2 linked regions of the Macaca fascicularis genome follow. The protein of the gene in region 2 purifies or fractionates together with the protein of the main gene of each other region. This does not show direct contact. Links are inferred from orthologs where the notes say so. Each region holds a gene or a part of one and is shown on either strand. Other genes may lie near its edges.

What was found. Proteins that work in one complex are often made in the same cells at the same time.
Region 1: the proteins of ITGA3 (region 2) and CD9 purify together in Homo sapiens (affinity purification with western blotting; 3 studies listed by BioGRID and IntAct, with this or other methods). This does not show direct contact. The link is inferred for Macaca fascicularis from reciprocal best matches to the Homo sapiens genes ITGA3 and CD9.

What each region holds. Positions count from the first base shown.
Region 1 is NC_088385.1:7,101,182-7,105,304, reverse strand, and holds the start of CD9 (CD9 antigen), read right to left. Parts: upstream 2,801-4,123; 5' UTR 2,702-2,800; coding exon 2,636-2,701; intron 1-2,635. UniProt on the Homo sapiens protein: Integral membrane protein associated with integrins, which regulates different processes, such as sperm-egg fusion, platelet activation and aggregation, and cell adhesion.
Region 2 is NC_088390.1:56,658,199-56,662,483, forward strand, and holds the start of ITGA3 (integrin alpha-3), read right to left. Parts: upstream 2,804-4,285; 5' UTR 2,358-2,803; coding exon 2,158-2,357; intron 1-2,157.

The sequences.
Region 1 (4,123 bases), on a different chromosome or scaffold from region 2:
TGAGACCACCCTGCCCCGTCATCTTGGATAAGTCACCTAACCTCCCTGGGAAATAGTTTCCTGATCGTCAGTATAGTGGGGACAATGCGTCCTGCTCTTGGCTACATCATGGGGCTAGAACAAGAAAGGCTCTAAAGACTAAGACTCTGCACAAGTGGACCGACCACAGTCTTCCTTTTCATTACATCATCTCCTAGGGATGAGGGCTTCGTCTCCATAGGGACCCAGATACCAGACAAATGAGCAGTAATTCAGGAAAGCATAGCTACTGCCCACCTTCCTGCTTCTGATGAAGATGGAAGAGGACAGAAGTAAGGGCCCCAGGAGTTGTAATACTGGCTCTGGCTCTGTGATCCTGGGTAAATCACCCCATCTCTCTTCCTCTGCTGCCTCACTATGGATAAGAGGGCTGGAATGTACGATCTTCAAGTCATTCCAAACATTTCCAGTGCGAGTGATTTCTGTTTCAGACTACATAGCTCATCAGCTGCACCTAGGCCGGGGCCAGGGGTAGGGGGCTCTGAATACGAGGGGGGTGGCAGGCTGAGGACAGTACGGACAGATTGCAGGCCAGCAGGCCACAGACAGAGTAGATACTACTGGCCGTGGGAGCCTCGCATCAGCTTCCTGCATATGCCATGGGGCAGATGGGGGTAGGGAGGCACACGGTGGCCGTCTGTGTTTCCCTGCAGTCCCAAACCTGGATGCAGTCTAGGCAGACAGCTGGGGACGAACCAACACAGGCAGGGAGAGACTGTACCTGGGAGGGGAGAGGAAAACTCCCAAAGGTCAAGGGTGGGTGAGGCCAGCTGCCTTCCCACATACTTTTCTGCTGCCAGGGATTGGTGAAAGGAAGAAGCTAAGCGTGGCAGCTGGCTGGTTGCTGGGGTGGGTAGCAACACAGGAGGAGAGGGGTGCCCACGGCCGGCAGGGTCTTCTTAAAGCAAGTCAAGGGTTGGGCAGGAGCACACCTACATGTTGTCCTCACTAGGGCGTGTGTTATGGTGACTGATGCACTAGGGGAGGTCAATCTCTACAAACTGGAAAATCTGTTCGACCACCCCTTCAGCTCTGGGGAGGAGTAAATCTTAGGAGATTTCCCTAAGGAGGCTTGTGGGGACCTCAGTGACCAGGGGAATAAGTACACTTTCTTTTTTTTTCTTTTTGAGACCGGGCTCACTGTGTCACCCAGGCTAAGTATAGTGGTGCAATCATGACTCACTGTAGCCTTGACTTCCCAGGTTCAAGTGATCCTCTCATCTCAGCCTCCTGAGTAGCTGGGACCACAGGTGCATGCCAACACGCCCAGCTAATTGTTTATTTTTTGTAGAGATGGGGTCTAATGCACTATGTTACTCAGGCTGGTCTTGAACCTGGATGAAAGCAATCCTCCTGCCTCAGCCTCCCAAAGTGCTGGGATTACAGGCATGAGCCACTGTGCCTGGCCAAGTGCACTTTTTCTGTTACAAGACTCTGGTGGCATGCACCTGTTTCTACATCCATCTTGAGAGTGGCACACAGACTATCTTACTGCCTGCAGAGGGGCAAGTATTGTCATGCGTGTGTAGGGAATGTGGCTACAGAAACAAGGACACAAAGGTTTCCTATTCCTTGCTTCTGTCACCTCTCTGTCTTCCCATTTGTAGAGGCTGAGTGGCCTGCAGTGGGTGTCCCTGGAGCTCCTGGCCTCGTTGGCCTCTCCGGATGAACGTCCGCTCTGCGCCCTGCCTGGCCTTGGGTGGGCCGCCTGGGCTGGCGGGGAGGGGAGGGGGCAAGGCCAAGGCTGTCCTGGGCGGGCAGCTGGCTGGCACCTGATCTCTCCCGGAAATGCACACACAGGACTCATCCCACTAGAGGCGCAGATAGGTATCTGCCCTCTCCTCTCCTCTCCCCAGCTCCCAGAGTTCTCTCCAGTGAAGATACTTATCAGCCTTGAAAGAAATCAAGACAAGCTAGTCTTTCAGTAGCTGCCAGGGAGTTTGGCGCTCTCACGGTGGTTCAGAATCAAAGTCTGAGGGAACCGGGACCTGCGAGGTTCCTCCTCAAGGGTGGAGGAGCCCCCGACTCTCAGGGACTGGGTGCCGGGGCCGGACCCGCAGCCAAGGCACCCCTTCCGCTCCTGTGTAAAAGTGAGAGCAGCTCTTGGCTGAGCTCTCGCCGTGCCCGCACCCTCCCTTCCTCGCGCCCCCTACTACCTGGGAGACCCCACCCAGTCACGAGCCGCACTGCTCACCACAGTCCTCCTTGGCCCTGGCCCAAAGAGGGGTGCTCCGCTTCTCCCTGCCTTCCCCTCTGGCACTTGGAGGGGCTTGGGCTGGGAGCAGACACACAGCCCAGCTCAAATCCTAGGCGAGGGAAAGGGCTCAGGACCCGCCCGCACGCCCCATCCCAGGAGGGCCCGGCTCCCCACGCCCGCTGGGCGGTGGTGAGCCCCCACCCGAATGCGCCCGTCGCGGCCGTCCCGCCCGGCTCTGGACCCGGCCTTGGAGCCAGCTGGCAGCCGCAGGGCCCCCTCTCTTCCCGCCCGGTGCCTGCCCGGTGCGGGCAGTGCCAGCTGCCAGCACCCGCGGCCAGTGTCCGGGGTCCGCGAACAGGTGGCCCCTGAGTGGAGCGTGCGGCAGTCGCGCTCACTCACCCAGAAGATGAAGTTAAATCCGAACAGCAGGTATTTGATGCACTTGGTGCCTCCTTTGACCGGCATGGTGAGGGCTAACCTAGCCTGGGTCGAACGGGTGCGGGACTGAGGGGCGAGCGCAGCTGGGACAGGCGGTACCCGGGCTGGACACAGATACAGGCGGCTGTGGGCTGGTCTCCGGCTGCACTTTTAAAAAGTGCCACTCCTTAGGGCGCGCGACCCGCTGCGGTGCGCATGTGCCGGGAAAAGCCGCCCCCCACTCCCCCGCCGGCCACGCCTCCCGCCCCTTCGGCCCCGCCCCGTCGGCCCCGCCCGGGCCGCACCCCGCCCCCTGCCCCCGCCCAGGTCCGGCGTGTCTCGGCCCCAGCTGCCCGTCGGAGCCCGACCCTCTCCCTGTTTCCCCGCCTAGTCGCCCTAACCCCCACCCGCCACCCCCCCCCCTTCCAGCCGTCTTGGGGTCTTTCCAGGCAGCCACTCCCTGCCACTTTTACCGCGGACTTCTGTGGCGGCCTCGCCCTTCCGGTTCCCCCGGTTTGGTCTGGGCGCCCGACCCGGCTCTTTACTTTGGGAGACTCTCCCCGGGTCGTCCGGGCTAAAGGCCCCTTGTCCAAGGCCTGGTCCCGGAATGAGGGGCCCTTCTGCTTTGCGAGGATTTAAAGGGAAGCCGCCTGGCTTCATTTCGCCCTCGGCTGCCTCCTTGCAAGCCTTCGCTCGCTGGCCATACTTTTCATTGGGCACAGCATGTGGGGTAGGAGGAATTAGAAGCGCGCAGTCTGGGTGGGATGACAGATGGGAGGCTTTTGGAAGTCATTAGCAAGTACCTATCACCGAATGATAACATAGCTGAGGGCTGGGCAGTCCCCAAGCGCTTCCTGCACTTGAGGTTTAGTTGCCCTAAAGGGGAAAAGGGTTTGTAAACGGCTTCTGTTTTCTCTCTACTCCCCCACCCTCCCTCCTGCGTCTTTGGACGTGTTCGCTGCTGCCTTGGACTGCTCCAGATGCCAAGCTCGGAGCGCTTCTCTTCAGCTCACAAACTTTCTGTAGCTCTCCAGATTCAAGGACCTAAGTCGAAATGCCTCGTCCTGCCTTCCAGGCCCTGTGCAGAGCACTGATCTGACATCTCCCGGACCCAGAGCCCACCTCGCTCTCTGGCCGGCATGCGCGCTGGCTGGCTGGCCCTCCCCACGTCACTTGTAGGAATTCTGCGGGTCTTTAAACACTCCTTTCCTGATTCTCCGGAGTGGACGAGGAGAGTCCCCGTCCTTTGAAGTTCCAGAATCCCTTTGTATTATTTTCAAAATGAAGTTTCCTTTAGCGTCCTTTATTATTGCAAAAGCAAGATATAGTCATTACAGAAACAACCGAAATACCAAGAAGTAAAAGTAACAGAACTCAAAATTCTGCTCATCAGAAACAGCCACTGTTAGCACATTGCTGTTATTTTCCTGTTTATTATCATTAGACTTGTCTCATTGATTAAAAAACATT
Region 2 (4,285 bases):
CAGGCAGCTGTTTGCATCTGGCTACACAGCTGGCTGCAGCTAAGCCCAGCTGGCTCTCCCAAATGGCCGAGGGGTTGAATGGCCAAGGGGTTGAATTCAGTGAGATGACAAGAAAGGCCAAGATACAGAACCACCCTTAGGAAAGACTGAGGATACTCAAGGGAGAGAACTCCTGCCCCTCAGAGGTTCATTAGCTTTAGAACCTTCTGGGCTCCTGGCAGGCTGAATGCCAGCTCCAGTTTCCCAGAGAGAAAAGTAGAACCCCTTTGCTCAGCCACCTTGGAGGGGGCTCATGGGTAATGAGGATGCATCCAGGTTCTGGCCTCAGCGCAAGAGCCTTCAGGTGCTCCTTGGAGAAAGGCACATGTGCAGAGGATTTTACACACTTTATCTAGTTACAGCCCCACTAACATCCCAAAAGAAGGCATGCTATTCCCCTCCCTCCAACACGTAAGGAAATTCAGGTTCAGGTATTGGTAACAGATCTGAGACAGGACACTGGCCATGGGACCTCCAAGCCTCTTCTCCCTCTACCATATCAAGTTGACTCTCACAGGCCAGCAGCAGTGGGAAAGAGCACTAGATCCAGGTCCAACCCCTTTTGGGGGAAACCTGGCCCAGGGAGGGGACCTTGCTCAAGGTCACCAGGCAAAAGGGGGAGGGGTTGAGGAATCATTATTGACTCTTTCTTTCCAGTCTGATCTCTTTACCTATGTTATCTTATATCATGCAGATTTGGCATTGAAAGTCTGAAAATCTTTTTCTTGGTTAGGGCAGAAAGAGTGCTGATGTAGAAACGTGTGCTCCTGGTGGCTCAGGATCTCCAAAAGATAGAGGGTTGGCTAAGGCCAGGTGGCAGCTGCTGGGGCCAGGCAGGGAAGGGTGTGGTAGCCCTAGCTTTTGCAAGAGCAAGATGGAGTTGAGGTTAAGTCCAGGTAGGCAGGCTAGGTCGGGAGGGCAGAACCAAGGCAGGGTCAGAGTTTGGACTTTGGACATTCTAAACTTCCTCAATCTCTGCAGGCCCCAACCGGAGCAGGGAGAGATTTCAGTGTACCCTGAATGTGACTACATCTTCTTGTTCAGTGGGGTCAGAGGCCAGGTGGGGGCAGAGGCTAGGAGGGGGCAGATCACCCAGCCCAAAGAGGTGGATGGTACCTGCTTAACCTGTCCTAACCACCATCCCTCTTTGGACAGCTTCACCTCCCCAGCCACCAACCTCGGCATGCTCTGAGGCCACAGCAGAGAGACCTCTGAATCCTGGACATGCTACTGGGCATGAGTGTGTCTGGTGGAGTGAGGGGGACCCAGGCGGCTGGGTGCAACCTCCTCCTCCTTCCTCCCCTATGCATAGCTCTTCCCCTCCTCCTTGCAGCTGTTGGGGAAGGAGAACAGAAGAAAGAGAAAAACACTGTTTCCCTCTTCAAACCAAAACAAACACACTCAGGGTTGAAGATCCAACACGAATCCGTGGAATGCAGGGAGGATGTCTGTGGGGAGAGTGCCACTGCTTGGGGGTGGGCAGGAGGAGACGCAGCCAGAGCTCGGACAAGTCCTCCTCTCTCTTCCACTGCCGCTATCCTCAAGGCGTCAAAGGGAGCGTATGGACAGCTCCAAACGCCCAGACTCACCCATCACCTCACCCTCCATCCGCCAAGCCAGCGGTTGAGAAGGCCATCCAGTCTGGCTCTGCAGAGGGTGTGGCTGGCGTGGCCGCAGACTACCAGCGAGGTGCTTAAATGCATATGCTCATTTTTCTCCCAAGCGTAGGGGAAGGGGGGTCCGCTGGGTGTTTATCTTGCAGTTTACCCCAGCTCCCAGCCCTGGAGAGAAGAGGCTAGTGCTGGGTACTCGGTTCACATAATGGGAGAGGACTCAGTCACCGGGACCCCACTTCCGCTCTCAGGAGAGATCTAAAGGGCGGAGGGGTGGCGTCCAGACAGGTTCTGGCCCCGTCAGCACTTGCCAATGATTACTGCCCGACCTCACACCCAATCCTCCACTTCCCGCCAACCCCCAGCAGCCAGTGGGCCGCCTGGGTACCCGCCCCTTAATCCTGGCTCCCAAGGGCCAGCTGCCCCGGACTCCGACTCCGCTCCGGACCCGCATCCCCCGCACGCACACTCTCGCTCCCACCCCACAGCCTCCAGCTTCACTTACAGGTAGCGCTGCTGCCGCTCTGTCTGCCGATGGAGGGCGACCGAGTAGCCGAAGAGGCTGCCCGGGTTCCCGGCCTCTTTCACTACCAGGAATCGGGTATCCAGGTTGAAGGCGGAGACTACGCAGCCGCCGGCTGCCACCATCAACGCGCAAAGCATCAGGCGTGGGGCGCGGGGCGCGCGGCTGGGGCCAGGGCCCATGGCTGCGAGCGGGAGCGGGGTCCGGGCGAGAGCGCGTGAGAGCGCGGAGCTGGGCGTGAGGACCTGTTCACCTGCTCCCCGCGCCGCCGGAGGACACTGAAACCCGCCGGCCGCTGCGCTCCGTAGTGCTGATCGGTTTCGTGCCCCCAGCCTCGGCCAATTTCACAGCTGCGCTCTCGGATCCCCTCTTAAGATCCGTGGGTCTATCTTCCCGTCTCCCCAGCGGCCGGGTCGCCGCCGTCCCTGCCCCGGGCAACCGGCCCCCAGCTTGTCCCGGCCGCGCCCCCTTGGCCGCGCTGTTGCCTTCGATCCCGGCTTCGCGGCGGATCTGGCAAGCGCACCGGTCGACCGCAAGGAGGACAGGAGGGAGGGGTCCTGCGGGGCGCGCCCCGCCTCTCCACGCCCAGTCCCGCACCTCACCACCTTGCGAGCCCAGCCCGGGCTGCGCTTTCCTTCCGGGGAAAGAGAAAAAGGTCCCGGCTCGGCCACCGCCTCTTAAAGGGGCAGCACCGCCCCTCCCTCCTCATCCTCCCTACCCCAGCTCCGCCTTCTCCCCCAAACACCTGTCGGCAACACCCAAAGGCTTAGATTTCCCCTCCCCGCCCCTCGCTTCTCTGGGAAAGGGTCGTCTCGGGAGCAAGATGGATGTGACGGGCGGAGCCGGGGGTGGGATTTGTCCGGCCGCTTTCCTGCCTCTGCTGCTGCTGCTGAAAAGGCCAGCCCGCTGGAGAGACCTGGCGTTGGCGCATCTGGGAACAGACTTCCGCGCGCGGCTGGCTGGAATGCTGGACTCGCCTCCGCAGCGCTGTGAGTCCCCAAGAGGTGGCTGTCGGTCCCTGGGAGTTCTTCCTCTCACCCAGGCTCCTCGCTGTGTTTGCAGAGATTTATTTCTCCTGTCCACTCATCCGGATCCGAGCTGAGATTGGCCCCTCAGCAAAGACAGACATATTTAGCAGTGGTAACAACCAAATGTCGCTAATTGTAATTACCAAAAAGCATTTTTTTCCCTGCGACTTCTGGTATCAAGGGATAAGACTGTCAATGTAGAAATGAGTCCCTCCTTCACAGAAAGCACTGCGTCGCCAGGAAGCTGAGCCTAGACCGTACCCATTTCTCGTCCACTCCTGCCTTCAGGGCCCAGCCCAGAGAATCCCAGAGGCTCCCTCTTCCTACCCAAGCTTGAACAGAGTGTTTGGAGACTGGGCTTGGACGTCAGCCCCCATCAGGTGTTTGGTGGGTAGCGCCAGGTGGCGGTAGGTGGGCGGAGCCTAAAGGTCTCCTCCACCAAGGAATCAAATTGAAAGGGAACTTCAAGAGGTTACGCTGGCCAGGCGCGATGGTTCACGCCTGTAATCCCAGCACTTAGGGAAGCCGGGGCGGGCGGATCACGAGATCAGGAGTTCGAGACCAGCCTGGCCAATATGGTGAAACACTGTCTCTACTAAAAAATTACAAAAATTAGCCGGGCGTGGTAGCGGATGCCTGTAGTCCCAGCTACCTGGGGCAGGAGAATCGCTTGAACCCGGGAGGCGCAGGTTGCAGTGAGCCGAGATCGCGCCACTGCACTCCAGCCTGGGCGACAGAGTAAGACTTCGTCTAAAAAAAAAAAGAGGTAATTATGTACTTTCTTAGATCTAACTCACATTTCTCTTGCTGCAGCTCAGAGACCCATTTTCCCCAGAGCATTTTGTTTTGTTTTGTTTTTGTTTTTTGTTTTGTTTTTGTTTTTGAGACGATGGAGTCTCACTCTGTCTCCCAGGCTGGAGTGCAGTGGCGCTATCTCCACTCACTGCAACCTCTGCCTCCCGGATTCAAGCGGTTCTCCTGCCTCAGCCTCCTGAGTAGCTGGGATTACAGGCGCCTGCCACCATGCCCAGCTAGATTTTTGTATTTTTAGTAGAGACGGGGTTTCACCATGTTGGTCAGGC